Linked DNA regions of Pelodiscus sinensis. The protein of the gene in region 2 purifies or fractionates together with the protein of the main gene of each other region. This does not show direct contact. Links are inferred from orthologs where the notes say so. Each region holds a gene or a part of one and is shown on either strand. Other genes may lie near its edges.

The links.
Region 1: the proteins of STX12 (region 2) and SNAP47 purify together in Homo sapiens (co-immunoprecipitation; 3 studies listed by BioGRID and IntAct, counting the BioPlex papers as one, with this or other methods). This does not show direct contact. The link is inferred for Pelodiscus sinensis from reciprocal best matches to the Homo sapiens genes STX12 and SNAP47.
Region 3: the proteins of STX12 (region 2) and STX10 purify together in Homo sapiens (affinity purification with mass spectrometry; 3 studies listed by BioGRID and IntAct, counting the BioPlex papers as one, with this or other methods). This does not show direct contact. The link is inferred for Pelodiscus sinensis from reciprocal best matches to the Homo sapiens genes STX12 and STX10.
Region 4: the proteins of STX12 (region 2) and VAMP4 purify together in Homo sapiens (affinity purification with mass spectrometry; 3 studies listed by BioGRID and IntAct, counting the BioPlex papers as one, with this or other methods). This does not show direct contact. The link is inferred for Pelodiscus sinensis from reciprocal best matches to the Homo sapiens genes STX12 and VAMP4.

What each region holds. Positions count from the first base shown.
Region 1 is NC_134712.1:254,224,644-254,231,587, forward strand, and holds the start of SNAP47 (synaptosomal-associated protein 47), read right to left. Parts: upstream 3,004-6,944; 5' UTR 2,838-3,003; intron 2,285-2,837; exon of another isoform or gene 1,766-2,284; intron 1-1,765. Other genes in the region: 2-oxoglutarate and iron-dependent oxygenase JMJD4, read left to right, coding at 5,120-5,384. UniProt on the Homo sapiens protein: Plays a role in intracellular membrane fusion.
Region 2 is NC_134735.1:22,766,018-22,773,730, forward strand, and holds the start of STX12 (syntaxin-12), read left to right. Parts: upstream 1-4,711; 5' UTR 4,712-4,883; coding exon 4,884-4,992; intron 4,993-7,713. UniProt on the Homo sapiens protein: SNARE promoting fusion of transport vesicles with target membranes. Together with SNARE STX6, promotes movement of vesicles from endosomes to the cell membrane, and may therefore function in the endocytic recycling pathway.
Region 3 is NC_134729.1:13,735,769-13,743,468, forward strand, and holds the start of STX10 (syntaxin-10), read right to left. Parts: upstream 3,016-7,700; 5' UTR 2,722-3,015; coding exon 2,687-2,721; intron 2,128-2,686; coding exon 1,958-2,127; intron 732-1,957; coding exon 637-731; intron 122-636; coding exon 59-121; intron 1-58. Other genes in the region: IER2 (immediate early response gene 2 protein), read left to right, coding at 6,319-6,978. UniProt on the Homo sapiens protein: SNARE involved in vesicular transport from the late endosomes to the trans-Golgi network.
Region 4 is NC_134719.1:64,088,850-64,096,692, forward strand, and holds the start of VAMP4 (vesicle-associated membrane protein 4), read right to left. Parts: upstream 3,010-7,843; 5' UTR 2,857-3,009; intron 703-2,856; 5' UTR 644-702; coding exon 578-643; intron 1-577. Other genes in the region: METTL13 (eEF1A lysine and N-terminal methyltransferase), read left to right, coding at 5,097-5,249, 6,572-7,325. UniProt on the Homo sapiens protein: Involved in the pathway that functions to remove an inhibitor (probably synaptotagmin-4) of calcium-triggered exocytosis during the maturation of secretory granules.

The DNA.
Region 1 (6,944 bases), on a different chromosome or scaffold from region 2:
ATCCCCCTTTATTCGGCTTTGGTGAGGCCACATCTGGAGTACTGTGTCCAGTTCTGGGCCCCCCACTACAAAAAGGATGCGGACGCATTGGAGAGGGTCCAGCGGAGGGCAACCAAAATGATTAGGGGTCTGGAGCATATGACCTACGAGGAGAGGCTGAGGGACTTGGGTCTGTTTAGTCTGCAGAAGCAAAGAGTGAGGGGGGACTTGATAGCAGCCTTCAACTTCCTGAAGGGAGGTTCCAAAGAGGATGGAGAGAGGCTGTTCTCAGTAGTGACAGATGGCAGAACAAGGAGCAATGGTCTCAAGTTGTGGTGGGAGAGGTCCAGATTGGATATTAGGAAAAACTATTTTACTAGGAGGGTAGTGAAGCATTGGAATGGGTTACCTAGGGAAGTAGTGGAGTCTCCATCCCTAGAGGTGTTTAAGTCTCGGCTTGACAAAGCCCTGGCCGGGTTGATTTAGATGGGATTGGTCCTGCCTAGAGTGGAGGGCTGGACTTGACGACCTTCTGAGGTCTCTTCCAGTTCTGATTCTATGATAAGGGGATGGTTGGATGAAATAACATGATCTTGGTAACTAATTGACCATTCATTTCCAGTTGGAAATAGGTCAATGGAGGGATGATAGGAGTTGCTATAGGGAACTTTCTGGGTGTCTGGCTGGTGAGTCTTGCCCACATGCTCAGGGTTTAGCTGATCGCCATATTTGGGGTCAGGAAGGAATTTTCCTCCAGGGTAGATTGGCAGAGGCCCTGGAGGTTTTTCGCCTTCCTCTGTAGCATTGGGCACAGATCACAGCTGAAGGACTCTCTGCATGTTGGGGCCTTCAAAGTATTGGAAGGCTTCAATATCTGAGACATAGGTGAGAGGATTATTCTAAGAGGGGTGGGCGAGATTCTGTGGCCTGCACTGTGCAGGGGGTCAGACTAGATGATCATAATGGTCCCTTCTGACCTTAAAGTCTATGAGTCTATGAGACTAGTCCACTATCCGATAAGCAAAAACGCATCAACTATTCAATTAGTCAATTACCCAATACTTAATATCCTTATTAGGCATATGCCTTAAGCCACTGGTCTCCAACCTTTTTAAGCACAATTTTTTTTAATTTAAGTGCAATATAAGAGCTACCTCAGACTAAAATACCCGTACCGCACCTCCTTCATGTCCCTTCTCTGAGACCCCGCCACTGCTCTGTCCTCCCTCCCTTCCCCATCTTCCCTCCCTTTCACTAAGCAGGGGCAGAAGGTTGGGGCACAGGTTCTGGTCTTGAGCTAATGGATTTGGAGTGTGAAAGGGGCTCTGAACTGAGCTTGGGGCAGGGAGTTGGGGTGCAGGTTTTGGGAGGGAGTTAGGATTTGGGGGGCTCAGGGCTGGGGCAGAGGGAGTTCATGACTGGGGCAGGGATTCAGAGCTGGCTCCAGTTGGACACTGCTTACCTCAGGTGGTTCCTGGGTGGTGGTGCAATGGGGCTAAGGCAGGCTCACCCCCCAGCAAACTCCCTCCACCCTAAGCCCTGTTGTCTCCCCCCCCACCCCAACCTCCGTTCTGTGGAGACAGACTACAGGGTGGGAGGGGGGCACCCTGACATCAGCACCCTCTCCCCTCCCTCTCCTGCTCTGTACTGCAAGCAGGAGACTGGGGGGGGGGGGGGGAGAGGGAAGCAGGTCTAAGGCAAAGGGCAGGAGGTGTACAGCAATAGGGGGAGAGGCAACTGAAATGCCAGCACTTGATAGCCTCTTGGCCAGACCAGTCAGGATCACCTGTCAGGCTCCAAGATCTACTGGTTGGTGACCACTGCCTTAATCTTTCTCTGATTCAGTTTCTGCTGAGGTGACGGAGCTTTTGCCCTCATTTGTAAAATGCACTGAGATCACTGCCTGAAAAGCATTATGTAAATAACAAGTGTGACTAATTTTCCCATCTGTGGCATCATGCTTCTACACATGCGGTTACATCACACTGTTAATGCCTGAATAGTTTATCATCCTCTTTCAGTGTGCCTTCCCCATCCCATCTCCACCATGACAGCATCCCACTCTTCTCCTTTCTGGGGAATTATCCCCCTCACCCCTGGAAACAAAGGTATCAGCATTTCCAAAGATGACTGATCTTTAGTCACTGGCTCCTATTTTAGCCCATTCTTGGAACCGCAAATTTGTTTCTGGCTTCACTGAGGTTTGATATTTCTGCCCAAGTTTGTATCACGGATGGATGAGCTAGTCTGAAATGCTTGACACCGACACCTCAAGTCAGCAGTACCCCAGGGGGCCTTCACGGCAGCGTCCTGCCTCTGCAGCAGCCCCCGCCGCCCACCCAGGGGTCCCCCCACACTCGACCACACCCCACCACCTTGGATGCCCCACACCTTGCCCCCCCCACCTAGAGAACCCCCACACTCCGCCACCACACCCCACCACCTAGGATGCCCCACACCTTGCCCCCCCCACCTAGAGAACCCCCACACTCCGCCACCCCTCCCCCCACCTAGGGGTGCCCTCCACCTCGCCCCCCCACCTAGGGAACCCCACACTCCGCCACCCCTCCCCCCACCCCTCGAACCCCACCTAGGGAACCCCACACTCCGCCACCCCTCCCCTGCCTGGGGGTGCCCAACACATCACCCCTCCCGCCTAGGGAACCCCCACACTCCGCCACCCCTCCCCCCACCCAGGGGTGCCCCACACCTCGCCCCCCCCTCCTAATTCGGCGCCCCACACACAATGTGCCCCTCCCCCCGCCCTGGGGTCCCCCCCCACACGAAGGGCCCCTCCCCGTGGCCCCAGCGAGGACGCGGGCGCTCGCCCCTCCCCCCACCGGCCGGGAATGACTCACCTCCCCCAGGGGAAGGTGCTGGGACGCTCGGCGCCAGCTACCCCGCTTGAGCCTTCCGCGCCTGCGCCCGCCGCGCTCTCCCATTGGCGGAGCCGCCCTCCCTTTGTTCTCCCCCAACGTCTCTCCCCCCGGGAACGTGCGACGCCGCGCTCAGGGTTCCGGCCTCCCCGAGACAGCTCGCCCGGCGCAGGCGCAGGCGCAGAGCAGGTGCCCCGAGCCCGTCTCCGCCCCATCCCCCACACACTTCCGGTCGCTTTCCCCGCGAGCCAGGGTCACGCGCCGGGTGCGGCGCCATAATGCGTCCGGGTGGCGGCGAGCCCAGGGTGCGTGACCGGTTGGCGTGGCGACCCCGTCCCGTCCTGGGGCCCCTCCCCCCCCCCCCCCGAGCTGGAGCGTCACATCCCCGCCCCCCCCAGCCGGAACCCTGCCCCCCCACCCCAGAGCCTTCACCCCCCCCAGTGGGAACCCTGCCCCCCCACCCCAGAGCCTTCACCCCCCCAGCGGGAACCCTGCCCCCCCCACCCCAGAGCCTTCACCCCCCCAGCGGGAACCTTGCCCCCCCACCCCAGAGCCTTCACCCCCCCCCAGCCGGAACCCTGCCCCCCCACCCCAGAGCCTTCACCCCCCCCAGTGGGAACCCTGCCCCCCCACCCCAGAGCCTTCACCCCCCCAGCGGGAACCCTGCCCCCCCACCCCAGAGCCTTCACCCCCCCAGCGGGAACCTTGCCCCCCCACCCCAGAGCCTTCACCCCCCCCCAGCGGGAACCCTGCCCCCCCACCCCAGAGCCTTCACCCCCCCCCAGCGGGAACCCTGCCCCCCCCACCCCAGAACCTTCACCCCCCCCAGCGGGAACCCTGCCCTCCCCACCCCAGAGCCTTCACCCCCCCCAGCCAGAACCCTGCCCCCCCACCCCAGAGCCTTCACCCCCCCCCAGCGGGAACCCTGCCCCCCCCACCCCAGAGCCTTCACCCCCCCAGCGGGAACCCTGCCCCCCCACCCCAGAGCCTTCACCCCCCCCAGCCGGAACCCTGCCCCCCCACCCCAGAGCCTTCACCCCCCCAGCGGGAACCCTGCCCCCCCACCCCAGAACCTTCACCCCCCCCAGCGGGAACCCTGCCCCCCCACCCCAGAACCTTCACCCCCCCCAGCGGGAACCCTGCCCCCCCACCCCAGAACCTTCACACACCCCCAGCAGGAACCCTGCCCCCCCACCCCAGAACCTTCGCACCCCCCCAGCAGGAATCCTGCCCCCCATGGGGCCCCTCACTCTGCCTCCCTGCGATCCCAGACCCTCCCCCTCTCGGGTCCCCTCATCCCCCCATGGCGGGAGCCCCCCCCATCCCATGCCCATAGTGGGGAGCCCGGCCCCCTCCCACGCTCCTGAGACGGGACTCCGGGTCCCCCTCCTTTCCTGGGGACCCTCCCTTCTTGTCAGCTGGAGTCTCGTGGAGGACTCCAGGGATACATTTCAGGCTCTTGGGTTTCCCTCTGCTGGGGTTAAGAGGAGTTTGGGGTTCCAGGAACGTCTCTTCCTTCACTTTCCTCTCCTCCCCCAGGCATGGCTGCTATCAGTCCTTGTTACCACTCAACCACCTCATTATTTTTTAATGATTGGGAGCTGCCTGTCTGTATGCAGCATCCCAAGCAGTGCAGAGTATATGACATGAATGCAGGAGCTCAGCTCGATCCCTGAAGGACCTGACCTTTTCAAACTATCCTGCTTAATGTTTTCTGTCGCATCTGGCAATCTTAGAACAGGACACGTTTTATTTTTTGCTTGCAATAGAAGCTTTTCTTTTTGTTCCCCGAGCTGGAGAGAGACCCCACTGAAATGAACATGTCTGCTGTTTATTTCTAGAAACAGGCAAGTGGCTGTTCTCTTCTGCGACCCACGGAGAATGCTAAGCGAAAGCATGGAAATAATTTAATATGGACACGTAACTAGACTATCTGCCACTGACATGAAAGAGATCTACAAGGAATATAGGCTTTGGTTACTGTGATTTGTTTGTAATGTAGCCATTCGATCAAGGTGGCCATAAACAATTGAAGCAACATTAAAGGACATTTCTAACCCTGCATGTTGAAACACAAAAGAACAAAGCTTTTCCTGCAAGATTTTATCTGTATTTTGGAATTGGATTTTTTTTAACTGTGAGTTAATTTTTATACATTTGAAAGATCCACTCAGATTAATGTACAGCTATTTATTTTAACCTAACTTAATATATTGTCTGATCACATCTTCTCGACCAAGTACCAGGAAAGTTATATAATCTGAATGGACAGAGCAGCATTTGCCTGTTCCACTGCGTTCTTTCATGACTACAGCAGTGCATCTCATGTAGCAGTCAGCCTGCCCCAAGGACATGTTGACTATATTGAAAAGGTAGAATCGTTCAGTTACTCCGATTTTTTCAGGGACTATCTGATTCCCAACCACCCCTGTGTTTTCTCAGCTAAATTCACTGAGGGCTGGGGCAGCAGGAGGAATTGGGTGACTCAGGATGGGAAACCTAACTTTGATTACCTACTGCAGCATTTTGGTAAGTGAATTAAGTTTTTAATATGCCATTTAATATGAAAATCTGCCTAATTGTCAGGGTGGTGAAACACTGGAATAAATTGCCTATGGAGGTTGTCGAATCTCTATCATTGGAGATTTTAAAAAGCAGGCTAGATAGATATCTATCAGCGATGATCTAGATCATGGGTGGGCAATAATTTTTTAAGGGAGGCCACGTCACAAATTTCAGAAGTGTCCATGAGCCAACCTGGAAGGGGCGGGGCCTTGGGCAGAAGGGGCGGGCCATGTGCTGTAAAAAAATGCCACTATGGTTTTTACACAACAAAGTAATTCAATTTTAATAATACTTAACTGCATACAACATTATCCAAAGATTATCATAGAAGGCAACACTTGTAAAATTTGTAATAATAACTCTTAACATTTTGAGAAAACTTGTAACATTTATAATAACAACACTAATACTAAACATAGGGCACTGAAAATTAATACTTAGTCCTGCCATGAGTGCAGGGAACTAAACTAAAGGACTTTGAGGCCCTTTCCAGACCTATGATTCCATGAAATAGTATCAGTGTCCCTGTTTTTCCTCCCACCCACATTAAGGATATTCAGTTTCATGAGTTACAAAAAGATTCCCACACTTGACTATAAAAATGGCATCTAGATATTTTTATCAAAACCAGTTGTAATGAGATAGGTTATTGGGCATTTAAAGCTACTTCTTGAAGGAAGCAGCTACAATTTTCAGTGATTAACTATGTTTTTGAAACGCCTTGAAACATAGGAGCACTTCAGGACACAAATGATCTTTTTTTTTTCAATTAGAATATTTATGTAGTGAAATGAATGGTATGTGTATGTGCTTTTTTAATTCATTAAAAGACACTCATTAACTAAAACCATTAACCAGCCCAAACCATATTTTTTCTGCTGTGCTCCTGGGCAAGATGATGCTGTGGGACCTGGGGCGGAAGAGGTGGTATTGAGAGCTACCCTACTGGGAACTTTGCTTGCCCTGGGGTTCCTACCCCCCTAACTTCTGGCCAATGGACGGGACCTGGAGCAGAGGGGAGGGTGCCAGGGGTTAGCCTCCTCCCAGAGTTGTCTGGGGTGGAGGCTTAGATTTCTTACAGCTCCTGCCCCCCACTTCTAACCTGTTGCCTGGCAGCTGCCCGGCATGCACAAGCCCTTTGAATAGAAGCAGTTGAAAGGGCTCGCGCCTTTGGGCAGCTCGATCAGTGGGGCAGAGCTGTGAGCTCTTTTCAGTTGCTTCTGTTTAACGGGCTTGTGCCTGTCGGGTGGCTGCGAGGCAATGCAGCCACCCAGCAAACAAGCCCTTTAAATAGAAGCAGTTGAAAGAGCTCGCGTCTCTGGCTCCCTAGCAACATGTTAGAAGCTGGGGGAGCTGCCAGCCCTTTTAAATGCTTCTATTGAAAGGGCTTGTGCCTTCCCTGCACCTGTCAGGCAATGCTTGCCTTGCAGCCCCAGGAACAGGAGAGTCCTGTAAATAAAAACAGCGTGGCTATGTCTACACTCGCGGCTTCTTGTGCAAGAACTCTTGCGCAAAAAAACGTCC
Region 2 (7,713 bases):
TAGCGTCTCTCACTTTGCCCCCTCCATGTGCTGACGCAGACCTGCCCCAGCTGTCATGCCCAGTAGCTTCTATGATGAGGTAACTGGTCTGTGGATATGGGAAAGTCAGTGGATGTGATATACCTTGACTTTAGCAAGGCTTTTGATACGGTCTCCCACAATATTCTTATCAGCAAGTTAAGGGAATATGGATTGGATAAATGGACGGTAAGATGGATAGAAAGCTGGCCAGACTGTCGGGCCCAATGAGGAGTGATCAACGGCTCGATGTCAGGTTAGTGGTCGATTTCTAGCAGAGTGCCCCAACGATCTGTTCTAGGACTGGCTTTGTTCAGCATAGAATCATAGAACCATAGAGCAGGAAGAGACCTCAGAAGGTCATGAAGTCCAGCCCCCTGCTTTAGCAGGACCAATCCCAACTAAATCAACCCGGCCAGGGCTTTGTCAAGCCGAGACTTAAACACCTCTAGGGATGGAGACTCCACTACTTCCCTAGGTAACCCATTCCAATGCTTCACTACCCTCCTAGTAAAATAGTTTTTCCTAATATCCAATCTGGACCTCTCCCACCACAACTTGAGACCATTGCTCCTTGTTCTGCCATCTGTCACTACTGAGAACAGCCTCTCTCCATCCTCTTTGGAACCTCCCTTCAGGAAGTTGAAGGCTGCTATCAAGTCCCCCCTCGCTCTTCGCTTCTGCAGACTAAACAGACCCAAGTCCCTCAGCCTCTCCTCATAAGTCATATGCTCCAGGCCCCTAATCATTTTGGTTGCCCTCCGCTGGACCCTCTCCAATGCTTCCGCATCCTTTTTGTAGTGGGGGGCCCAGAACTGGACACAATACTCCAGATGTGGCCTCACCAAAGCCGAATAAAGGGGTATAATGACATCTCTGGATCTGCTGGCAATGCTCCTCTTAATGCATCCTAATATGCCATTAGCCTTCTTGGCTACAAGGGCACACTGTTGACTCATATCTAGCTTCTCATCCACTGTAACCCCCAGGTCCTTTTCTGCAGAACTACTACTTAGCTGGTTGGTCCCCAGCCTGTAACAATGCTTGGGATTCTTCCGTCCCAAGTGCAGGACTCTACACTTGTCCTTGTTGAACCTCATCAGATTTCTTGTGGCCCAGTCCTCCAATTTGTCTAAGTCACTCTGGACCCTATCTCTGCCCTTAAGCGTATCTACCTCTCTCCCTAGCTTAGTGTCATCTGCAAACTTGCTGAGGGTGCAATCCATCCCCTCATCCAGGTCATTAATAAAGATATTGAACAAAACCGGTCCTAGAACCAAACCTTGGGGCACTCCACTAGAAACCGACCGCCATCCTGACATCGAACCGTTGATCAGTACCCGCTGGGCCCGGCCTTCTAGCCATCTTTCTATCCATCTTACCGTCCATTTACCCAATCCACATTCCCTTAACTTGCTGGCAAGAATAGCGTGGGAGACCGTATCAAAAGCCTTGCTAAAGTCAAGGTATATAACATCCACTGACTTTCCCATGTCCACTGAGCCAGTTACCTCATCATAGAAGCTAATCAGATTGGTCAGGCACGACTTGCCCTTTGTGAATCCATGCTGACTATTCCTGATCACTTTCCTCTCATCCAAGTGTCTCAAAATGGATTCCTTTAGGATCCCTTCCATGATTTTTCCAGGAACCGAGGTAAGACTGTAGAAACCGGCCTATAGTTCCCTGGATCGTCCTTCTTCCCTTTTTTGAAGATGGGCACTACATTTGCCTTTTTCCAATCATCCGGGATTTCTCTTGATCTCCACGACTTTTCAAAGATAATGGCCAAAGGCTCCTCAATGACATTTGCCAACTCCCTCAGTACCCTCGGGTGCATTAAGTCTGGACCCATGGATTTGTGTATGTTTAGCTTTTCTAAATAGTTCCTAACCTGTTCTTTACCCACCAAGGGCTGTCCATCTTCTTCTCGTCTTGTGTCACTTAGCACAGAAGTCCAGGAGCCGACCTTGTCCGTGAATACAGAGGCAAAGAAAGCATTGAGTACTTCAGCTTTCCCCACATCATCTGTCACTAGGTTACCTCCTTCATCCATTAGGGGCCGCACACCCTCTCTGATCACCTTCTTCTTGTTGACATGCCTGTAGAAACCTTTCTTGTATCCTTCACATCCTTAGCCAGTCGCAACTCCATTTGCGCTTTCGCATTCCTGATAACCCCCCGGCATTCTCGAACTATACATTTAAACCCCTCCCTGGTCATTTGTCCAAGTTTCCACTTTCTGTAAGCTTTCTTTTTGTGCTTAAGTTCACCAAGGATTTCCCCTGTAAGCCAATCCGGTCTCCTACCAGGTTTGCCTCTCTTGCTATGCGTCGGGATGGTTTCTTTCTGTGCCTTCAATAAGGCTTCTTTAAAATACTGCCAGCTGTCCTGGACTCCTTTCCCCTTCATGTTAACATCCCAGGGGATTCTTTCCATCAGATCTCTGAGGGAGTCAAAATCTGCTTTTTTGAAGTCCAAGGTGTGTATTTTACTACTCTCTTTTCTTCCTTTGGTCAGGATCCTGAAATCTACCATCTCATGATCACTGCTTCCCAGGGTGTCACCCACCTCTACGTCCCCTATTAGTTCCTCCCTGTTTGTGAGGAGAAGGTCAAGCTGTGCCCGGCCCCTGGTCGGATCCTTCAGCACTTGTACCAAGAAGTTATCCCCAACATTCTCCAAAAACTTCCTGGATTGCCTGTGTACTGCTGTATTGGTTTCCCAACAGATGTCAGGGTGATTAAAGGTAACCCATTCCAGTGCTTCACCACCCTCCTAGGGAAATAGTTTTTCCTAATATCCAACCTGGACCTCTCCCACCACAACTTGAGACCAATGCTCCTTGTTCTACCATCTGTCACTACTGAGAACAGCCTCTCTCCATCCTCTGGAACCTCTCTTCAGGAAGTTGAAGGCTGCTATCAAATCCCCCCCCACTCTTCACTTCTGCAGACTAAACAGACCCAACTCCCTCAGCCTCTCCTCATAAGTCATATGCTCCAGCCCCCTAATCATTTTGGTTGCCCTCCACTGGACCCTCTCCAATGCACCCACATCCTTTTTGTAGTGGGGGGCCCAGAACTGGACACAATACTCCAGGGCTGTGTCTAGACTGGCCAGTTTTTCCGGAAAATCAACCGCTTTTCCGGAAAAACTTGCCAGCTGTCTACACTGGCCGCTTGAATTTCCGCAAAAGCTGAAAAGGGGTCCTTCTTTCTTGCTCCTTCCTCTCTGCATTTCCTCCCGGTATCCGACTTTCCCACTCCCCTCAGGGTTTTGGTCACTGTCCTCCGACGAACCTAGTTTAAAGCCCTCCTCACTAGGTTTGCAAGCCTGCCCACGAAGATGCTCCTTCCTCTCTCCGTTAGGTGGATCCCATCTCTTCCTAACAATCCTTGTGCCCGGAACAGAGTCCCATGGTCAAAGAAACCAAAGCCCTCTCTGCGACACCACCTGCGCAACCACGCATTGACGTCCTCAATTCGACGATCCCTGCCCAGTCCTTTCCCTTCAACAGGGAGGATGGACGAGAACACCACTTGCGCTCCGAGTTCTTGGATCCTTCTTCCCAACATCTTTATTAATGACCTGGATGAAGGGATGGATTGCACCCTCAGCAAGTTCGCATATGACACTAAGCTAGGGGGAGAGGTAGATATGCTGGAGGGCAGGGTTAGGGTCCAGAGTGACCTGGACAGATTAGTAGATTGGGCCACAAGAAATCTGATGAGGTTCAACAAGGACAAGTGCAGAGTCCTGCACTTGGGATGGAAGATTCCCAAGCATAGTTACAAGCTGGGGATCAACTGGCTAAGTAGTAATTCTGCAGAAAAGGACCTGGGGATTACAGTGGATGAGAAGCTGGATATGAATCAACAGGGTGCCCTTGTAGCCAAGAAGGCTAATGGCATATTAGGGTGCATTAGGAGGAGCATTGCCAGCAGATCCAGAGATGTCATTATTCCCCTTTATTCAGCTCTGTTGAGTCAACATCTGGAGTATTGTGTCCAGTTCTGGGCCCCCCACTACAAAAAGGTCGTGGACACATTGAAGAGGGTCCAGGGGAGGGTGACCAAAATGATGAGGGGGCTGGAGCACATGACCTCTGAGGAGAGGCTGAGGGAGTTGGCCTTGTTTATCTGCAGGAGCGAAGAGCGAGGGGGGATTTGAGGGCAGCCGGCACGTTCCTGAAGGGGGGTTCCAGAGAGGCTGGTCTCAGGGGGGGCGGGTGGCAGGACAAGGGGCAATGGGCTCCAGTTGCAGGGGGGCAGGTCCCCAGGCGGTGGGAAGCGCTGGGCTGGGTGCCCTGGGGGGGCTCAGTCCCTGGAGGTGTGTGTCTCGCTGACACAGCCCTGGCCGGGATGATGGAGCCGGGCTGGTCCTGCCTTGGGCTCGCGGCCTCTGCCCGCCCCTGGCCAGTGCCTGCTAATAGGGGGAGGGGCGGCTCCATGCTCGCAGGGCTCTAGGCCCGGCTGGGGAGGGGGCGGAGCTAGCCCGCTCGGGGGCGGGGCTATGTGCGCTCTGCTGCTCCCATCCAGTCCATCGTCGCTGGGAGGCTCGCTCCGCCCCCTTCGCCAGGCTCCGCGAGACAGGCCCGGACCTCCATGGCGCAGGCGCAGTGCAAGCTGAGCTCCGCGCGCAGGGCGGGGCAAGGCGGGGTCTTCACCCCTTCCGGGCCCGTAACCATGGCGCCCAAGGGCCTGCCAGCCCGCAGCTGAGAGACAGCGAGTGCGCACGCGCCGCCCGGGGTGGGCCTTAGTGCCGGTAGCAGTGCGCGTGCGCAGTGGCGCGGCGGTGTTTTGCCCTGGTCAGCTGCGCTCCCGCCTGCCCCGTCCGGAGCCAGCGCCCAGCCCGGCTGCGCCATGTCCTACGGGCCGCTGGAGGCGGGCCGGCCCGCGGGCCCCCCGGCCCGGGACTTCGGCGCCATCGTCCAGACCTGCAGCGCCAACGTGCAGCGCATCGCCCAGTGCAGTGAGTGCGGCCCGGCGGGGGGGGCCCGGTTCGGCCCGGCGGGGGGGGCCCGGTTCGGCCCGGCGGGGGGGGCCCGGTTCGGCTCGGCGGGGGGATCCGGCAGGGGGGGCCGGGGAGGGACCTGGTTCGGTTCGGGGGGGGGGGTCCGGCGAGGGAGGCCCGGGGAGGGACCTGGTTCGGTTCGGGGGGGGGGGGGTCCGGCGAGGGAGGCCCGGGGAGGGACCTGGTTCGGTTCGGGGGGGGGTCCGGCGAGGGAGGCCCGGGGAGGGACCTGGTTCGGTTCGGGGGGGGGGGGTCCGGCGAGGGAGGCCCGGGGAGGGACCTGGTTCGGTTCGGGGGGGGGGGTCCGGCGAGGGAGGCCCGGGGAGGGACCTGGTTCGGTTCGGGGGGGGGGGTCCGGCGAGGGAGGCCCGGGGAGGGACCTGGTTCGGTTCGGGGGGGGGGTCCGGCGAGGGAGGCCCGGGGAGGGACCTGGTTCGGTTCGGGGGGGGGGGGTCCGGCGAGGGAGGCCCGGGGAGGGACCTGGTTCGGTTCGGGGGGGGGGGGGTCCGGCGAGGGAGGCCCGGGGAGGGACCTGGTTCGGTTCGGGGGGGGGGGTCCGGCGAGGGAGGCCCGGGGAGGGACCTGGTTCGGTTCGGGGGGGGGGGGGTCCGGCGAGGGAGGCCCGGGGAGGGACCTGGTTCGGTTCGGGGGGGGGGGGGGGGGTCCGGCGAGGGAGGCCCGGGGAGGGACCTGGTTCGGTTCGGGGGGGGGGTCCGGCGAGGGAGGCCCGGGGAGGGACCTGGTTCGGTTCGGGGGGGGGGGGTCCGGCGAGGGAGGCCCGGGGAGGGACCTGGTTCGGTTCGGGGGGGGGGTCCGGCGAGGGAGGCCCGGGGAGGGACCTGGTTCGGTTCGGGGGGGGGGTCCGGCGAGGGAGGCCCGGGGAGGGACCTGGTTCGGTTCGGGGGGGGGGGGTCCGGCGGGGGAGGCCCGGGGAGGGACCTGGTTCGGTTCGGGGGGGGGGTCCGGCGAGGGAGGCCCGGGGAGGGACCTGGTTCGGTTCGGGGGGGGGGTCCGGCGAGGGAGGCCCGGGGAGGGACCTGGTTCGGTTCGGGGGGGGGGGGGCCGGCGAGGGAGGCCCGGGGAGGGACCTGGTTTGGTTCGGGGGGGGGGGTCCGGCGAGGGAGGCCCGGGGAGGGACCTGGTTCGGTTCGGGGGGGGGTCCGGCGGGGGGCCCGGGGAGGGACCTGGTTCGGGGGGGGGGGGGGTCCGGCGAGGGAGGCCCGGGGAGGGACCTGGTTCGGTTCGGGGGGGGGTCCGGGGGGGGAGGCCCGGGGAGGGACCTGGTTCGGTTTGGGGGGGGGTCCGGCGGGGGGCCCGGGGAGGGACCTGGTTCGGTTCGGGGGGGGGCCGGCCCGCCCGCCTATCGCCCATTTGCCTCCCGGAGCCGGCCCAGCCGCCCGCCTCCCCTATGTCCGGGCTGGGCCCCCGGGAGCGGCCCCCCAAGCCCTGGCCGTGCTGTCAGCCCCACGGCGGCTCCCAGGCACCCCCTGTACCTCGAGCGCTTTGTCAATAGCCACAGCTGGTCACCCCTGCAGCCCGTGGTGGCCTCTGCTTAAGGCCTGTTAGTCCGCCCCGACTCTTCCAAGGGACGGTTCCCTGCAAGCTCTCTTCCTCTCATAGATGTGCAATAAAGCAGTTTCCATTGCGGGAGAGAAATAAGCATCTCAGATCTTCTCCTGTGAAGCCCTTTGCTTCTTGTGAAAAATCACAGTTCCCTCTAGCAAACTAGATGGCAAGTTTGTAGCCTGATCTTGATTATAACCATAGTACCCAGACAACCAGATCAGGATTTAGCCAGGAAGTGCTGTAAACTTTGTGTTCCCACAGCCTAGGGAGTGGACTACTCGCATTTCTGCCCCCCACCCTTTGCTGCCTCTGTATCAGAGGTAGTAGTGGGGAGAAGCCGGTTTAAAAGCTGGTTTTCCCCCCAGCACTCTCTCCACAGTGCTGCCCATCCTGCCCTTTGCAGTGGGGAGGGGCGGCTGCTGCTGCTGCTGCAAAGCAACCCCTGTCAGCAGGTCAGTCCTGGCCACGGACCTGGTGTAGGACCAAACCCCAAGGCAGCTCTGCAATTTAAAAGGCAGTAGGAGCCGGGGGGGGGGGGGGCAGGCTGCCTGGCTCCTACTGCCTTTTAAATTGCAGAGCCACAGTGAGGTTTGGTCCTGCACCTGCCAGGAGTCAGGACTGAGCAGGCTGCCTATCAACTAATCAAGTAGCTGATAGAATTTTTATCGACTACTCAATTAGTTCAATACCCGCCTCTTAACATCCCTAGTACAATGCGATCTCTGCATAGAAGCACTTACAAGCTCAAGTTTACCTTGAATAAGGGTTTGGAGGCCTGGACTCTTTACATGTATACTGATGGTGCGATTCAGGTGATATGGGAATGAACTGAACTCAGGAAGCACAAGACAAAATTAGAATGATTTTTTTTTAATTTTTTGTTTTCTTCCCCCTCCTGTTCCCCAGTATTGTCACTTTGCTTTGTCTTCTCATGGCCAGTTGGATGAAACCGAATATAATCCTCCTACTTCTATGCTCTTACACCATTTCACCTGATCTGTGTCAACACAGCAGCACATGAGGCATAGAACTAGCACAAATCTTTCTCAAAATAGTCAAGGCATGTTTTATCAAAGGCCTTTATAAAATAAAGGGGCACCAGCAACTTAGAAG
Region 3 (7,700 bases), on a different chromosome or scaffold from region 2:
TGGCATTACGGGACTTTCTACAGGGCCGGTCCTGCTCCGCGAGGATGGGACCAGATACCTCTCTGCTCTTCCGCTGGGCGAAGGCCAGGGCTGACGGGCTGGATACGTGATCCTGCATCTCCTGCGAGGGAGGGAAGGAAATGGTTAAAACACAAGCTTGATCTGAGGTCAGAGGACTTTTGGTGGGTGCAGGGGGGAAGCACAGAGGTTTGGGAGAGCAACTCAGAGCATTTCGATGGGGGTCCCCCTTTCTGTCAGCCTCACATACAGGGACTTCCCCACAGTCAGCCAGCAAGAGCAGGAACAGAGCCCAAGTGACCTGGGTTTCCCCTGCCTTAACCACTAGGCCCCCCACCCATCTCAGAGCCAAGGACAGAATGCAGGAGCCCTGACTCCTAGCCCACTGCTCTCTCCAACACACACATTTCAGAACAACCTGCTGCAAATCATGGCCCTGACTCAGTTTCTCCTCCTCTGAGCTATTGGGGTCCCTCTACTGCATTAGCTGGTGTGCCCCACTAGAGGGGAGTAGAACCTCACGCTCTCAGAAGAGGTCTTCATTCCTCCAGTAGGGGGCAGCCCTGTGACTCAAACACAAAGGGAAGAGGGGGTGCAAGGCGGGGGGGGGTCCCCCACCTTAACTGAGTCCCGCATCTGCCTCACGAATGCCCGTCTCTCCGTCAGCTCGCTGGCTTCGATCCTGAACTTGCGAGGGTTTGACTCCACAATGCGTGCGCCGGCGTTAAGGACCAAGTGCAGATCCAGGGTGGGAGGGGGGAGCACTGGAGAGGAGCCGGTGTGTGTGTGCAGGGGGGGTTCCCAAGCAGCCCACAGACATGAAACAGCTCTCTGGATTTCCCTTCATTCCCATGGCCTGTCCCAGCAGGGGCTGCCATGGGGTGTAGGGACAAAGCGCTGGCTGCAGGGGAGGCTGCAAGGCGCCGGGAAGGGTGCTGGGGCTGGGGATGCTCCCGGACTCTGCCAGGAGGGGGGCGCTGCAAGGAGCTGAGCAGGGTGCTGACTGCAGGGGGGCTTCCAGACTCTGCCTGCAGGGGGTGCTGCAAAGATCAGGGCAGAGTGCTGAGAGGAGTGGGGCAGGGCGCTGGCTGCGAGGAGTGCTCCCAGACTCTGTCAGCATGGGGTGCTGGCTGCAGAGGGTGCTGAGAGGAACAGGGCAGGGCGCTGGCTGCAGGGGGTGCTCCCGGACTCTGTCGGCATGGGGTGCTGCGAGGAGCGGGGCAGGGCGCTGGCTGCAGGGGGTGCTCCCGGACTCTGTCAGCATGGGGTGCTGCGAGGAGCGGGGCAGGGTGGTGGCTGCAGGGGGTGCTCCCAGACTCTGTCAGCATGGGGTGCTGCGAGGAGCGGGGCAGGGTGGTGGCTGCAGGGGGTGCTGCGAGGAGCGGGGCAGGGCGCTGGCTGCAGGGGGTGCTCCCGGACTCTGTCAGCATGGGGTGCTGCGAGGAGCGGGGCAGGGTGGTGGCTGCAGGGGGTGCTCCCAGACTCTGTCAGCATGGGGTGCTGCGAGGAGCAGGGCAGGGAGCTGGCTGCAGGGGGTGCTGCGAGGAGTGGGGCAGGGTGCTGGCTGCAGGGGGTGCTCCCAGACTCTGTCAGCATGGGGTGCTGCGAGGAGCAGGGCAGGGTGCTGGCTGCAGGGGGTGCTCCCGGACTCTGCCAGCATGGGGTGCTGTGAGGAGCGGGGCAGGGCGCTGGCGGCAGGGGGTGCTGCGAGGAGCGGGGCAGGGAGCTGGCTGCAGGGGGTGCTCCCAGACTCTGCCAGCATGGGGTGCTGCGAGGAGCGGGGCAGGGCGCTGGCTGCAGGGGGTGCTCCCGGACTCTGCCAGCATGGGGTGCTGCGAGGAACGGGGCAGGGCGCTGGCTGCAGGGGGTGCTGCGAGGAGCGGGGCGGGGCGCTGGCACTGGGGCGCTCCTGCGGGGGAACTGGTCCCCAGAAGGATATCAATGGTCTCCTCCAGATCCTCCAGGTCCCACTGGATGCTGCGCAGGTTGTTGCGCAGCTCGTTGGTGGTCCAGTCGAACTCCTCGGAGCTGACGACATGGGTCTCCTGCAGCAGCTCGCACCAGCGCTGGTAGAGCCCCTGGGCCGTGTTCACAGCCTTCTGCACTTCCCTGGGGGCAAAGAGAGGGGGGCTGAGGAGGGGGCGAGCGAGGAGCAGGGCAGGGATCCCCAGGAAGGTGGCCTGGTGCTGCCAGGTCTTGCCCCGCTACTCTTCAGTCCCCACCCCAGAGGTGGCTGCATCTCGCACTAGGCAGGACCCCCCAGCAGCCCTGGCACCCTCCCAGCGAGGACTGGGAAGGGGGTCTCTCCTGCACAGGGTGGGTGGGGAGGATCCTGGTGGGGCACGGGGATAGGAGAAGGGTCTCTGCGGGGGAGGGGGGAGGGGAGTTCTCCAGGCGCGAGGAAGTGGGGCGGCCGGTGGGAGGGGGTTGTCCAGCGGCGCGGGAGACGGGAGGAGGTTTCTTCCGGGGGGCGGAGAGACGGGACGGGGCAGGGTCTGTTTAGGGGCGGGACGGGGGGGGGGAGAGAGGGCGGGACGGGGAGGTTTCTCCAGGACGGGGGGGGGGGCACGAGGGCGGGGGGGTTTCCCGGGGGGGATTTCCCCGGGGGGGGAGGCTTCCCCGCCCATATTCTAGGGGCACGATCCTGCGCGGGCCGCGGCCAACTCACCCCCGCACGGCAGCGAACGGGTCCTCCAGGGCCATGCTGCCCCGGCCCCGCTCCTGCTCCGGCTCCGCTCCCCGCCGCGCCCCGCCATGTGACCGGCGCTGGCCCTGCCCTCCCGAAGCTGCGGCCGCCGCCTTTGCTGAGGGCGGGGCGGGCCTGCCCGGACTTGGGGGGGAGGTGGCGGCTCCCCCCTTCTCAGCCTCCGCGGGGCGGGGGCTGCGCTGATCCCTAATTCCCGGCCCCGACCCGCTCCGCGCAGAGAAATTGAAGCCAGGAGTCCGGGCCCCCCACTTACCCCAGCCGGGGGGCTGGCACTGGAACCCAGGAGTCCTGACTTCCCCCTCCCCCACTCTAGCCACTAGGCTCCACTCCCTGCCCCCACAACAAGGGCTAGAACCTAGGAGTCCGTCCGGCCCCGCCCCCAACCATTACGCTCCCCCCCCCCCCCCAAGAGCTGAGCACTGAACCCAGGAGGTCTGACTCCTCTCCCCCATGTTCATTTCATTCCAGCCCAGCCAGTGGGACTAGTCCCTGCTGGTGCCCCCCCCCCCCCGGATTTCCCGGGACTCTTGGCTGCAGACGCCATGGGAGCCCGGCCCCCAGGCGGCTCCAGGATCCCGGCCTTTGAGGGGTGACAGGCAGCGCTTGAGACTAGCAGGCTGGGAGCAATAGCGGGGAGGGGGCTGCGTGCCCTGAGGTTGTGGGATGCGCGATTTGTTGAGGGGAGCCACAAGGGTTGCTGTGAGGAGGGGGGTTGCCTGTCAGAGTGTGGGGGGACTTGTGGCATGTGTGTGAGCTGTGTACAGCTAGATTGTGTACAGGCAGAGTGGTGAGGCAATGGGGGGGCATGGGGTGATATGCTGGTAATCAGATTGGGGGGAGGGTATGGACAGGCATCCTGTGAGGTGTATAGGTAGCTTGTGGGAAGAGTCGCACGTGGTATGTGTGCAGTCAGGTATTTGGTCAAGTTGTGGGGAGAGTTCTCGGAGATGTGTTAGGGGAGGTTAGGGGTGGAAGTGTAGAGCCAGATGGTGAGTAAGTTAGGTAGTGTTGGGGAGTTGTGAGTGGGTGGGAGAAATGGGCTGTATGGGGATGTGTGTAGTCAGGTTGTGTCTTCTTGGGTCGGGGGGATGTTGTGGGTGGATGTGTTGTATGTGGGGAAGGGATTGGTTGTGTCAAGTCAGACTGAAGGGGTTGTCATGTACTTAGGGTGATAGGTGGTGGAGAGTTTGTGTGGGTGTTAGGATGACAGGTGGTAAATGGGGGAGGGCTGGGGGTGACAGGGAGGTAGGGGTGACTGAGGGAGACTGGGGGTGACTGATAGGTGGGGGCTGGCTGGCTGGCTGGGATGCGATTGGAGACGGGGGGGTGAGAGGCAGGTAGGGGAGTTTTTAGGGAGAGATTGAGGGTACAATCAGGCAGTGGCTGGGGGGAGATCAAGGACTGGGGGTGTGAGAGGCAGGAGGGGGAGTTGTTAGAGATTGAGGGGACAGGCAGGTGGGGTCTGGCTGGGGGGACACAGGGAGCTGTGGGGGTGAGGGGCAGGAGGGGGAGTTGGGGAGAGTTAGAGGGGGCAGACAGGCGGAGACTGGCTGGGCGGAGATTGGGGGTTGTGGGGGTGAGGGGCAGGAGGGGCAGTTAGAGATTGAGGGGACAGGCAGGCGGGGTCTGGCTGGGGGGAGATTGGGGTAACAGGCAAGCGGCGGGTTGCTGGGGCGCCTGGCTGGGGGATGGGCGCATCCCACGTGCGGTGCGCGGAGGCAGGCTGCGGGGGAGGGATTTGCAGCGCGGGCAGATGGGTTTTTCCTGGTAGGATCCCGGAAGGAGGCTCCCCATAGCCCGCAATGGGGCCTTCCAGCCCTTGCCCTTATACGGAAAGAGGAAGCGAGCGGCGCTACAATCGCAACCCGGGTTGGAACGTTGGTGCGCGCCGCATTCGCGGCCCGCCCCCTGTCGTCATGGGCCCCAAATATAGTCATGGAAACGGTAACCAGGGAAGGCTGGGGTGACCTCAACAGTGGGGCGGAGCCTCCGCCTCTTCTTCCTTCCTCTTAAAGAGCCCGCGGGGGGAAAGGGCCTGTTGGCTGAGCGAGTATCCTCTGGGTGGCGGGGCCCGGGGGCTTAACTTTAACTAGCTGAAGCCCCCCCCCCCGCCCCCGCACTGACCCCCGGCCAGGGGAGGTGTCTTGCAAGGCCCGTTGCGGTGCATCCATGCAAAGCATGCGGGCTGGGAAGGTGTCACTGTTGGCCTCGGGGAGAACATGGCCCTCAGCGGAGGAGCTGGGCTCCATTGCATTGCCACGGGGGGTGCCCAGGGGGTGACTTGTAACAACCCAGAAAATGCCCCCCCCCCCAGCTGCAGGAAGCTTAACGCGCCCTGGCCTGGACGGGGCCACCTCCGGGGTGGGATCCAGCTGCGGACAGACCGCTTCGCCCCCCCGGGTTTCACACACGCAGCCGATGTTGGCGGGGCTGTGCCGGCCTCCACGCAGTCTGCCAGTCGGAGCGGGGTGTAACGAGCCGAGCCGTACGGCAGCTCGCATCGGGCGCACGCCACAGGAGTACGGTTTCATTCACAAAGAGTTCTGGCTCCGATTTGGGATCCGCTGTAGTAAGGTTTGTTTATTTGCATGAAACCAGATGCTAGAGAGCCTTGTGCAGACACACGTTTTGCAGCCACCACGCCAATGGGGCGGTTGCTCCAGTCCGTGGATTTAAACACAGATTGCGCTGTTTATCTACACACACACAACGGGGTTTGCCTTTGCCTTGGAGCTGCATTCCAGCCACCGCGCAGGGCGGTTTTATTGCGGCTGTGTGGCTGCGTTGGACGCAGGGAGAGATTTATTTGGCAGGCTGCAGTAAACAGAGAGCCGGTCTCGCTCCTTGTAACAGACACAACAACGTTGCTCGCCTTGCTTGCGTTGCGCCGAAGAGCTTGGCCTCGTGCGCATTTCAGGGCATTGCCCGCAGACCCGGCCGCGCGGCCCTGCCCACGCGGGTGGCCCCGGGGCTGCCGGGGTGGGTCGCATTGCGCGTGCACGAGGCGCTGCACTGGAGGCGGGGGCGCGCCCCCACCCGCAGGGGGCACGAGCCGCTGCATCGATTGCCCTGCCCGGCCATTTGGCGTCGGGGGGGGGGCTCCCTCCGGCCGCGGCGCTGCGCGTGCAAACCAGCCCCGGGCTCCACGCTGGACGCGCACAATGAAGCGCAAAGTTTGGGGATGTCCCTCCCCCCTCCCCCCGCGCTCCGGCTGCCTGGTTGCTTTGGCCAGCGGCTGCCCGGCAGGGTCCCTTCGGCTTCCTCCCCCTCCCCCACGCCCTGGCATTTCCGCCCCTCCCCCCACGGCGGCTGGGGGTGGCGGCGCGTTGCACCGGCCGGATGCGGCTGAGGGAGTGGGCGGGGGCGGCCCGGGCGCTGAGATCAGCAGGGGTATAAAAGCCGCGGAGCGGGGCGCGGCTGGGCTTAGTCCGGGCGGCTGGTCGGAGGCGGAGGAGCGGAGAGTCGCGAGCGAAGGCGGCGGCGCCGCAGCAGCAGCAGCAGCAGCAGCAGCTTCGCCCGGTGGGCGCGGGGGTGGGCAGACCCGGGCGCAGCCCCTCCCCCCAGCTCCGGCAGGGCCCGATCCTGCGCGCGGCATGGAGGCGCAGAAGGAGGCGCAGCGCATCATGACCATGTCGGTGTGGAAGCTCTACCACTCCCGCCTGCAGCGCGGCGGCCTCCGCCTGCACCGCAGCCTGCAGCTGTCGCTCGTCATGCGCAGCGCCCGGGAGCTCTACCTCTCGGCCAAGCTGGAGGAGGCGGAGGCAGGAGGCGAGGCGCCCTGCACGCCGGAGCAGTCGGCCGACCCCGGCCAACCCCCGCCGGAGGAGCGGGCGGCCCCCGCGGACTGTGCCGCCGCCCCCGGCGCGACGGAGCCCATGGAGACGCAGGAGAGCGGCGGGGAGCCGGCCCTGGCGCCCGCCTCCCCGGGGAAGCGGCCGGCGCGGGGCGTCTCGTTGCCCGGCGCGGGCAAAGGCAGCAGGAAGCGGCGGAGCAGCAGCCTGGACAAGCCGGGGGCGGCCGAGGCCGGGCTGGCGCCCAGCAAGAAGGCGCGGCTGGAGGAGGAGGCGGAGGGCGAGCGGCAGCCCCAGGGCCAGGACGGCCCCTTCCCCAGCCTGGCCAAGGTCCTGCAGCACCAGTTCGCCGGCAGACTGCGGAGCGGCCCGGCCAAGGGCCCCGATCCCCCCACGCCGGGCTGCCGGCCGGGGGACGGCGCGGTACTGAACATCCTGGTGCGAGCCGTGGTGGCCTTTTGAAACCGCTGCCCCGCCGCTTGGGGGGACTCGTGGCTGCGGGAAGCTGCCCCGCGGCGCGCCCGGCTCCTGGCGGGAGCTGGGGGGCGCAGCCCCTCTCCCTGGAGGAGGAGGGGGCGAGGAGCCGGCCGGGAGAGACACGCGAGGAGGAGGCTGGAGGACGGCGGAAGAAAGATCGGACTCTCCCCTCCCCTCCCCCGCCCGCTGCCCTCCCCACCCGGCTGGGACCGGGGGGAGGCGAGACAAAGGGCCGGGCCGCAGCGGGGCGAGAGACGCCGCCGCCTCCGCTTTGTGTGCGGGGGGACTGGGGGCCTGCCGGGAGGGCGAGCCTTGGGCTGACTGGTGCTATTTGCCGCCCCGCGCTCTGGGGGGGCCGGGCTGGGCTTCGGTAACTTGAGACGTGGGCCTGCTTCTTGCTCTGGGTCCTGGGGGCAGCCGGAGGGGAGGGGCGAGCTGGCGGGTTTCAACCCGAGCCGGAGCCGAGAAATACTCCAGGCCAGAGCTCCTGGATCCAGGCGGGTTTCGCCAGCCCGGGGGGGGGTCGTGGGAGGCCCGTTTCCTTCCTCAGGGGTTCACGCTTTTCTCGAAAGTGCTTCACCCCCCCCCCCCCGCCTTTATTCTTTATCCGAGGAAAAGCTCTGAGACGACCCCCCCCCCCCCCCCCCCCACTTCCAACCAGTCTGACAAGTTCTGACACAGCTCATATGACCAGCCATTGCATCACG
Region 4 (7,843 bases), on a different chromosome or scaffold from region 2:
TTTGTGACTATTTGTGTGTGGAATAAATTTTGTTCTGTGCGCCAAGGCATGCGCAGGTGCGCACCACCAAGAAACACTTGGTCCCAGCTATGGATCAATGGGCAGTATTTGCATCTCTCCTGGGCGGCCGCCCAAGCGCTCAGTGTACGCAAAACGCCGATGTCTCCTCCCAGACACACAGCCCAATTACAAAACAGGGATTATTTAGCAGGCACAACCCCCAGCTGGCTCCACCCTCTGAAGAAGTTGTTCAACAACTGAGAAGACACCAAGCGAGGCATCCTAAGCAGTCAGCACTGAGCGCGGCCAGCCAGAAGGATTCAACATGTCCTCCCATCTGGCTTTCTGCGCTCACATGCTGAGTGCCCCACTTGGCTTGTATCACGGTAGATGTCGTTCGTCTGAGGTCCGCTTTCAGCAATCCCTCCCCGTTCCGATGGTCCCAAAGCCCCCGGCAACGGAGCTGTGTGTGCCAGCCAGGGATCTCAGAGCACAGTGTGAGTAAACACACCCCTGCTAATTAAGGGGGCGGGGTGCCAACGAATGCAAACGAGACCCTGAGTTGCCAGGCACTCACCCTTTCGCTTTTCACCGAGCCGGTCACCTCGTCGTCGTTTAGGTGGCGCTTGAATTTTGGAGGCATCTTTCCTATTCACAGAACTGGCCTGGACTGTCTGTACCGGGGGGTGGCGGAAGAAGAGGCTGCGTAGAAGGGAGAGGGAAGAAAACATCTCAGAGCCCATTGTGCTGAGATCAATTCTCTGTCCGATCGCCGCGGTCTCCCTAAAACTCAGCCCAGTGAAACAGAATCCATTGACAAATGCCACAGGAAAGAGAATGAAAAATCAACCCACCGGCCCAGCAATGCCAGGCTTTCAGGGACCCCAAGGGACAGATCACGTCGTTCCGTCTAGTTTCAGAAACTTTGACCCTGAAGAGACGTGACGGTACCTGCTTATCTTTACGCATGTGACTGTGCAGGCCACATGTGAGTTTCCGGAGGGCCAAGGCCAAAGCGTTTAAGTTCACTGGGGCTGGGACTGTGTTTTTCTGCATTTTTGTACAGCTCTGAGCACAGCGGAGAACCGATCCACAACCCTTATCAAGCCCTTTGGTCTAAAACCCCAAAGCGACCAATTTTATCAAAAAGCCACAGGTTACTAAACCAGGAAAGAAAAGCAATAAAACCTGACGAGCCCCCACAGGATTTTGGCCAAGCGCGGTCTGCTCTCTCTCTTCCACCTTGCCCCCTTTGCTACGGTCAGTGCCAACGAGGGGCCCAGTTGGAAGAGTTAAACCCTGCTTCTCTACAGAACAGGCCCATCTCATGTAGGCACGGCAGCATGCAAAGTTCTCCAGCGTTCCTCCGCCAACGTGTTCCGTTCCACCTGAGCCAGACAGACGGCCCCTGCCCTTGGCGTCTTTGGGAGTGACCCACAGATGCCGAGGGTGGTGGAGAGCTGGGCTGGGTAAATATCTGTCAGCAAGGAACTGCACCCCACTTCATAGTGATCACTTGCAGGGCTGACCTCGTCTGGCTCCGTGTCCCAGTGACCCAGGAGGTAAAGAATCTGGCTCCCCGAGCCACCCAGTTCTATCCTAAGCGGCTTTCTACCCCAAGTACCCTGGATACGGCTTTGCGGGTTTGAACATCACCACTCTCCTCGGCTGCAGGAGTCAGTGGAGATGAAACGTTGCAATCCCGGGGAACCTGCCACCCCGGAGCGGGCACATGGAAAATTGCAGGGAGAGCCGTAGGCTGTGACAATACCAGAAATGCAGGAAATTTAGCCAATGTCCCAGCACAGCGAGCACTGTCTGCTCCCCTAAACAGCCAGACAGCCCGCAGCAGGGCAGGGCCTGTCCCCATGTGCTGAAGGATGAGAGTGTCGCTACAGGTTAAGAGCAACAGTCCAGACACAACCGAAGCCAGGAGCAAAAGAGGCACAAGTTAGAGAATCTGGAGAAGTCACCCAGGCAGCTGATGGGGGTAGGGGGGTACAATGGTCCTGGGCAAGGAGTGGGGGGGGGGCGGGTGTCACCCAGCTGGCTGGGCCGGAAGCAGGGACCACAGCGAATACGAGGGGCTGGGCTGGGGGTTATCGGAGGGATCATGTGGCCGGTAGAGGAGAAGCCCTGGCAATGAGCACAGGCTGGAGGAAGTGAGAGATACCCCAGTGCTAGGGAACTGCTTTCCCCGATGGGTCTCTCCTGGGACCCCTCCCCCGTGAAGCCCCCGAACCCCACTCCCCTCTAAAACCCAGCGCTTGGGAGGAGAGGGGACCCTGAGACGAGCTCACGTGCAGCATGAGTCTACACGGGGCCACCAGACAACAGCAGAGGGGGCAAGAGCTCTGCAAGCACACGTAGCTGGGAGCCCCCAAAGCCCTTCACCCACAGAACCCCCAAAGCCTCTCCACAGAACGGCCTCCAAGGACCCCCCCAATTCCCACCCCATTCCCCCCACAGAGCCCCCTCCCCAAGGGCCCCCTCCCCCCCTACAGAGCCCCCTCCCCCAGGGCCCCCAGGCCCTGCCCCCCACAGAGCCCCCTCCCCCAGGGCCCCCAGGCCCTGCCCCCCACAGAGCCCCCTCCCCAAGGGCCCCCAGGCCCTGCCCCCCACAGAGCCCCCTCCCCCAGGGCCCCCAGGCCCTGCCCCCCACAGAGCCCCCTCCCCAAGGGCCCCCTCCCCCCCTACAGAGCCCCCTCCCCCAGGGCCCCCAGGCCCTGCCCCCCACAGAGCCCCCTCCCCAAGGGCCCCCAGGCCCTGCCCCCCACAGAGCCCCCTCCCCAAGGGCCCCCAGGCCCTGCCCCCCCGGAGCCCCCTCCCGATAACCCCCCTGCCGGCCCCGCTCACCGCTCCGCGGCTGGGAAATGGCCGGGCTGCGCGGAGGGGCCCAGCTGCGAGTCAGCTGCTCCATCGAGCGCTCGGCGATCCGGGCCGAGCGCCGAGCCATCGATTCCTGCCCGGCGCTCGGCGGGCTGGCCCCTGGGGGGCGCGCGCGTGTCTCGAGCCCACTCGCGCGAGGGGGCGGGGCTGAGGCTCGCTGCCAGCTGGGAGCCCACGTGGGCAGCGGCGCGGCGCTCGGGGCTGTCGCGGTCCCGGCCCGTGTCCACGCGGGGGTGCAGCACGGGGGGGGGGGCTCTGCACCCCCCCGCACGCACAGCGATTGTTCAGTCCCAGTGCGGGAGGGAGGAAATGCCCCCGGCCCAGATCCTACAAGGCACTTAGGTGCGTGACTGCCATTGAAGCCAAGGGGAATTAGGCGCTTGCTGCCATTGAAGCCAAGGGGAATTAGGCGCTTGCCTTCGAAGCGCTGGCGTTCAGACGTGTATCAGCGAGCCCCCAACCCGCGTGACTAGACCCCAAAGATGTTAAGGCCAGAAGCGATGGTTGGATCATTCTAGTCTATACTGCAGGCCGCAGATTTTCACCCACCTGCACCTACTAGCTTGTGTCTGACTCACCTACATCTTCCAGAAAGGCGGGGGGGGGGGGGGGCGCGAACCAGCCACCCCCCGGACCTCTTCCGCACCCAAATGCCTCCCGCCCGCCTGTAGCTCTGCCGATCAGCACCTCCCCATCTCTCCACCACGATCAACTGTTCCACGGTGGGCACCTGCATTTTCTGTGTGTAAAAATCCTGATCAATTCACTTCTCAATCTTACTTTGGAGAAGAACAGAACATATTGAACTCTAAGACCCCCTACAGGGCCTTTTCTCCAGCCTTCATTCCTTCAAAGTAGGAATAAGAGATCCTCCGGAAAAGGGCTTTTTTCCGGAGGATCGGGGCCAGTGTAGACGCTCTTTTCCGGCTTTTCTAAAAGCCGGAAAAAAGCGGCGGATATTTTTATTTAAATGCCGCGGGGGATATTTAAATCCCCCGCGGATTTCCCTATTACGACCTGTAAAATTAGCATGCCCCTTTCGGAAAAGGGGCCAGTGTAGACGTAGCCCCTGTGTTTAGAAAAAGGAGATGGAAGCAGTCCCTCTTTGGAGCGAAAGCACACACACCTACGGCAAATCCACAAACTCTGCACAACGATACTTGCCAAAAGGAAGATCCAATCTGGGGCTTCCTGACTCAGAGGGTGGCTTTTAAAATGCTGCCGTTTGCGGAACCAGTTGCAACCGTGCAGAAAAGCAGGATGTTTTGCGCATACTTACAACCTTCCACAACTGATCTGCCTCTAACTGCTGTCACTATTGTAAATCTGCTTTTGGAAAATACTCTTTTGAGATTCTGATTAGCTGGGTTGTTTTTATACAAGCAGGAAACAAGCCTAACATATAGCTACCGTACGTTTTTGTTGTTGTTTTGTTTGTTTTCTTGCAAAGGCATTTGATGGCATTAATAATTCTCCATCTGTTATTTTGTTAAATATATGAGCTTCTTTCCAATCAGTGTATGCTGGGTGTCTGTTTATGCCAATATCATTATAACCTTCCCTCCTTTCCTCCTGTTTTCAGTAAACAGCAGTTGAACATTTGGCTAGTCTGAATGTGTGAATGGGTCTGATCCTTACCTGGTGTGAATTTATCAATCAAGCTATGCTGATTCGGATTTGGCTCTCTCTCTTCCCAACTGACATTTTGGGCAGTTGCACTGGTGTGGTCTAAGGGATGGTTCAAATGTACTTATGTATTTTAAAAATGTGCATCTGTCTGTCCAATTGTGAGTCTGTTTGTTCAAGAACTCTTCCTAAATGGTAAGGGCTAGGACCACCACATTTGGTATGCAGCTTCCTCTTCTGGGCTGCTACTTGTGTGCAGTTCCTGCCTCCTCTGGTCGCTGCCTGTCCCGATGTCATTAGGGTCCAGAGTCAACACCCAGCTGAGCGGAGAATGGCCACGCCCCCTGCCTGCAGGCTCGGGCAGGCGCGAAGCTGTAGCCACTGCCCCCTGGGGAGGCTTTGGTTCTGCAGCCCATGGATTCATGTCACAGCCTCCCAGCCCCGCCCCGGGGCCCCGCCCCCGCCTCCGAGCCCCGCCCGCCCCGCAATGGGCGGGCTCCGGACGCGGACGTAGCGTCGCAACGTCCCAGGGTCGCGCGGCGCGGCGCGGGCGCACGTGGGGAGAGGCCCCGCCCCCTGCCATGGCGCTGCTGCCCCGCAGCGCGCGCGAGTTCGGCTCGGCCGGCTACTGGGAGCGCTTCTTCCGCCAGCGCGGCGCGCGCGCCTTCGAGTGGTACGGCGGGTACGCGCAGCTCCGCCCCGCCCTGCGCCGCTACGCGCGCCCCCGCGACACGGTGAGACCCCGGCCCCCCCTGCGCCCCCCCGGGATCCCCCTCCCCTCCCCCAGCGCCCCCCCGGACCCCCCCCGGGATCCCCCTCCCCTCCCCCAGCGCCCCCCCGGGATCCCCCTCCCCTCCCCCAGCGCCCCCCCCGGGATCCCCCTCCCCTCCCCCAGCGCCCCCCCCGGATCCCTCCCCCGGGATCCCCCTCCCCTCCCCCAGCGCCCCCCCCGGGATCCCCCTCCCCTCCCCCAGCGCCCCCCCGGACCCCCCCGGGATCCCCCTCCCCTCCCCCAGCGCCCCCCGGGATCCCCCTCCCCTCCCCCAGCGCCCCCCCGGGATCCCCCCCGGGATCCCCCTCCCCTCCCCCAGCGCCCCCCCGGGATCCCCCTCCCCTCCCCCAGCGCCCCCCCGGGATCCCCCTCCCCTCCCCCAGCGCCCCCCCGGATCCCCCTCCTCTCCCCCAGCGCCCCCCCGGACCCCCCCGGGATCCCCCTCCCCTCCCCCAGCGCCCCCCCGGGATCCCCCCCGGGATCCCCCTCCCCTCCCCCAGCGCCCCCCGGGATCCCCCTCCCCTCCCCCAGCCCCCCCCCGGATCCCCCTCCCCTCCCCCAGCGCCCCCCCGGGATCCCCCTCCCCTCCCCCAGCGCCCCCCCGGGATCCCCCTCCCCTCGCGCCCCCCCGGGATCCCCCTCCCCTCCCCCAGCGCCCCCCCGGGATCCCCCTCCCCTCCCCCAGCGCCCCCCCCGGATCCCTCCCCCGGGATCCCCCTCCCCTCCCCCAGCGCCCCCCCGGATCCCTCCCCCGGGATCCCCCTCCCCTCCCCCAGCGCCCTCCCGGATCCCTCCCCCGGGATCCCCCTCCCCTCCCCCAGCGCCCCCCCGGATCCCTCCCCCGGGATCTCCCTCCCCCAGCGCCCCCCCTGGCATCCCTTTCCTTCCCAGCGCCCCCCCCCGGGATCCCCCTCCCCTCCCAGCGCCCCCCCCGGATACCCCCTGGGATCCCCCTCCCCTCCCAGCGCCTCCTCCGGGATCCTGCAACCGCTCCTTCCCCCTGAGATCCCTTCCCTTCCCTCCAGCGGGATCCCCCTTCCCCTCCCCCCAGTGCCCTCCCGGATTCTCCCTCCCCCAATGCCCCCTCAGCATCCCTTCCCTTCTCCCAGCAGCCCCCCCGGGATCCCTTCCCCCTCTCTCCCCCAATGTCCCCCCCCCCGATCCTCCTCTCCCCCAAGGCCCCCCCCCCCCGGCATCCGTTCCCCACGGGTGTTTGCTCGTCTCCATGGTGTGTGAGGCGGGTTGGGACCCCCAGGGAAGCTACCCTCTCTTTGCATGTCCCAGGTGCTCGTGGTGGGTTGCGGCAACTCCGAGCTGAGCGAGCAGATGTATGACGTCGGCTACCAGGACATCGTGAACGTGGACATCAGCGAGGTGGTGATCAAGCAGATGAGGGAGCGCAACGCCGACAGGAGGCCGAAGATGAGCTTCCTGGTGATGGACATGCTGCAGATGGACTTCCCGGACGCCCGCTTCCAGGTGGTGCTGGACAAGGGCACCCTGGATGCCATCCTGGTCGACGAAGAGGAGGCCACTCTCGAAAGGGTGGACAGGATGTTCGCTGAGATTAGCCGGGTGCTGCAGGTTGGGGGCCGCTACCTGTGCGTCTCCTTGGCCCAGGCCCACGTGGTGAAGAAAGCGGTGGGCTACTTCTCCCAGGAGGGGTGGGTGGTGCGCATTCACCAGCTGGCGGGCAGCGAGGACAGAGAGGCCCAGCAGCAGTTCGTGCTGCCCGTTTTCCTCTACGTCATGACCAAGTGCAAGAAGCTCCCTGGTTTGGTGCAGCCGATCCTGGAGATCTGCACGGAGGAGCTGGACAAGCCCGTGCGGGTGGAGAGCGCGGAGCGGCTGGTGGAGGCGGTAAAGGAGAGGCAGATGTACGCGCTGCTGCGCAGCCAGCTGGACAAAGCCCCCGGTGCGGGCGACGTCTCCCTGGATCTGTGCGACGCGGACACCGGGAAGCCTCGCTACACGCTGCACGTGGTGGACAGCCCCTCCGTGAACGCCTCCCGTGACCATCACTTCGCCATCTTCATCGGTGAGTGGAGCTCCTCCGAAAAGGCGTTTCTCTCCCATCGACGGCAGCGGGGGCAGCGTTTCGCCGCAGGACTCTACAGTTCTGCTCGTAAGCCCCTGGTTAGGTATAAAAAGGCTCTGATTTTCACCTATGCTGGCTCCTAACCACTCCTGTTTGTTTCCACGGCAGTTGCTGGGTGTTCAGAAGAGAGGCTTAGGGGTTTTCCAGCTGAACGTGGGCTTGTCGGCAGAGGCTAGCAAACCCGGTGAAACGAAATAGTGCCCCAGATCTGCCACTGTCACCCAAACAGAGGGCGGGTTGCCTTTCCTTCCCCCGTCCAGCTCTCGGGCACTGAGCATTTCTCCCGCTGATTCTCCAGTAGCTAGGATGAGACGTCCCAAGTGAGGGCACCAGGAAGCCGGACACATTTTGTGTCAGTTCTCCCGAAACGGAGTTTTTCTTTAAATTCCTTCCCATGACAAGCTTTCACGTTTTCGACTGGCTTTTCCAAAGTGGGGGGAAATTCCCCCCCCTTCCAA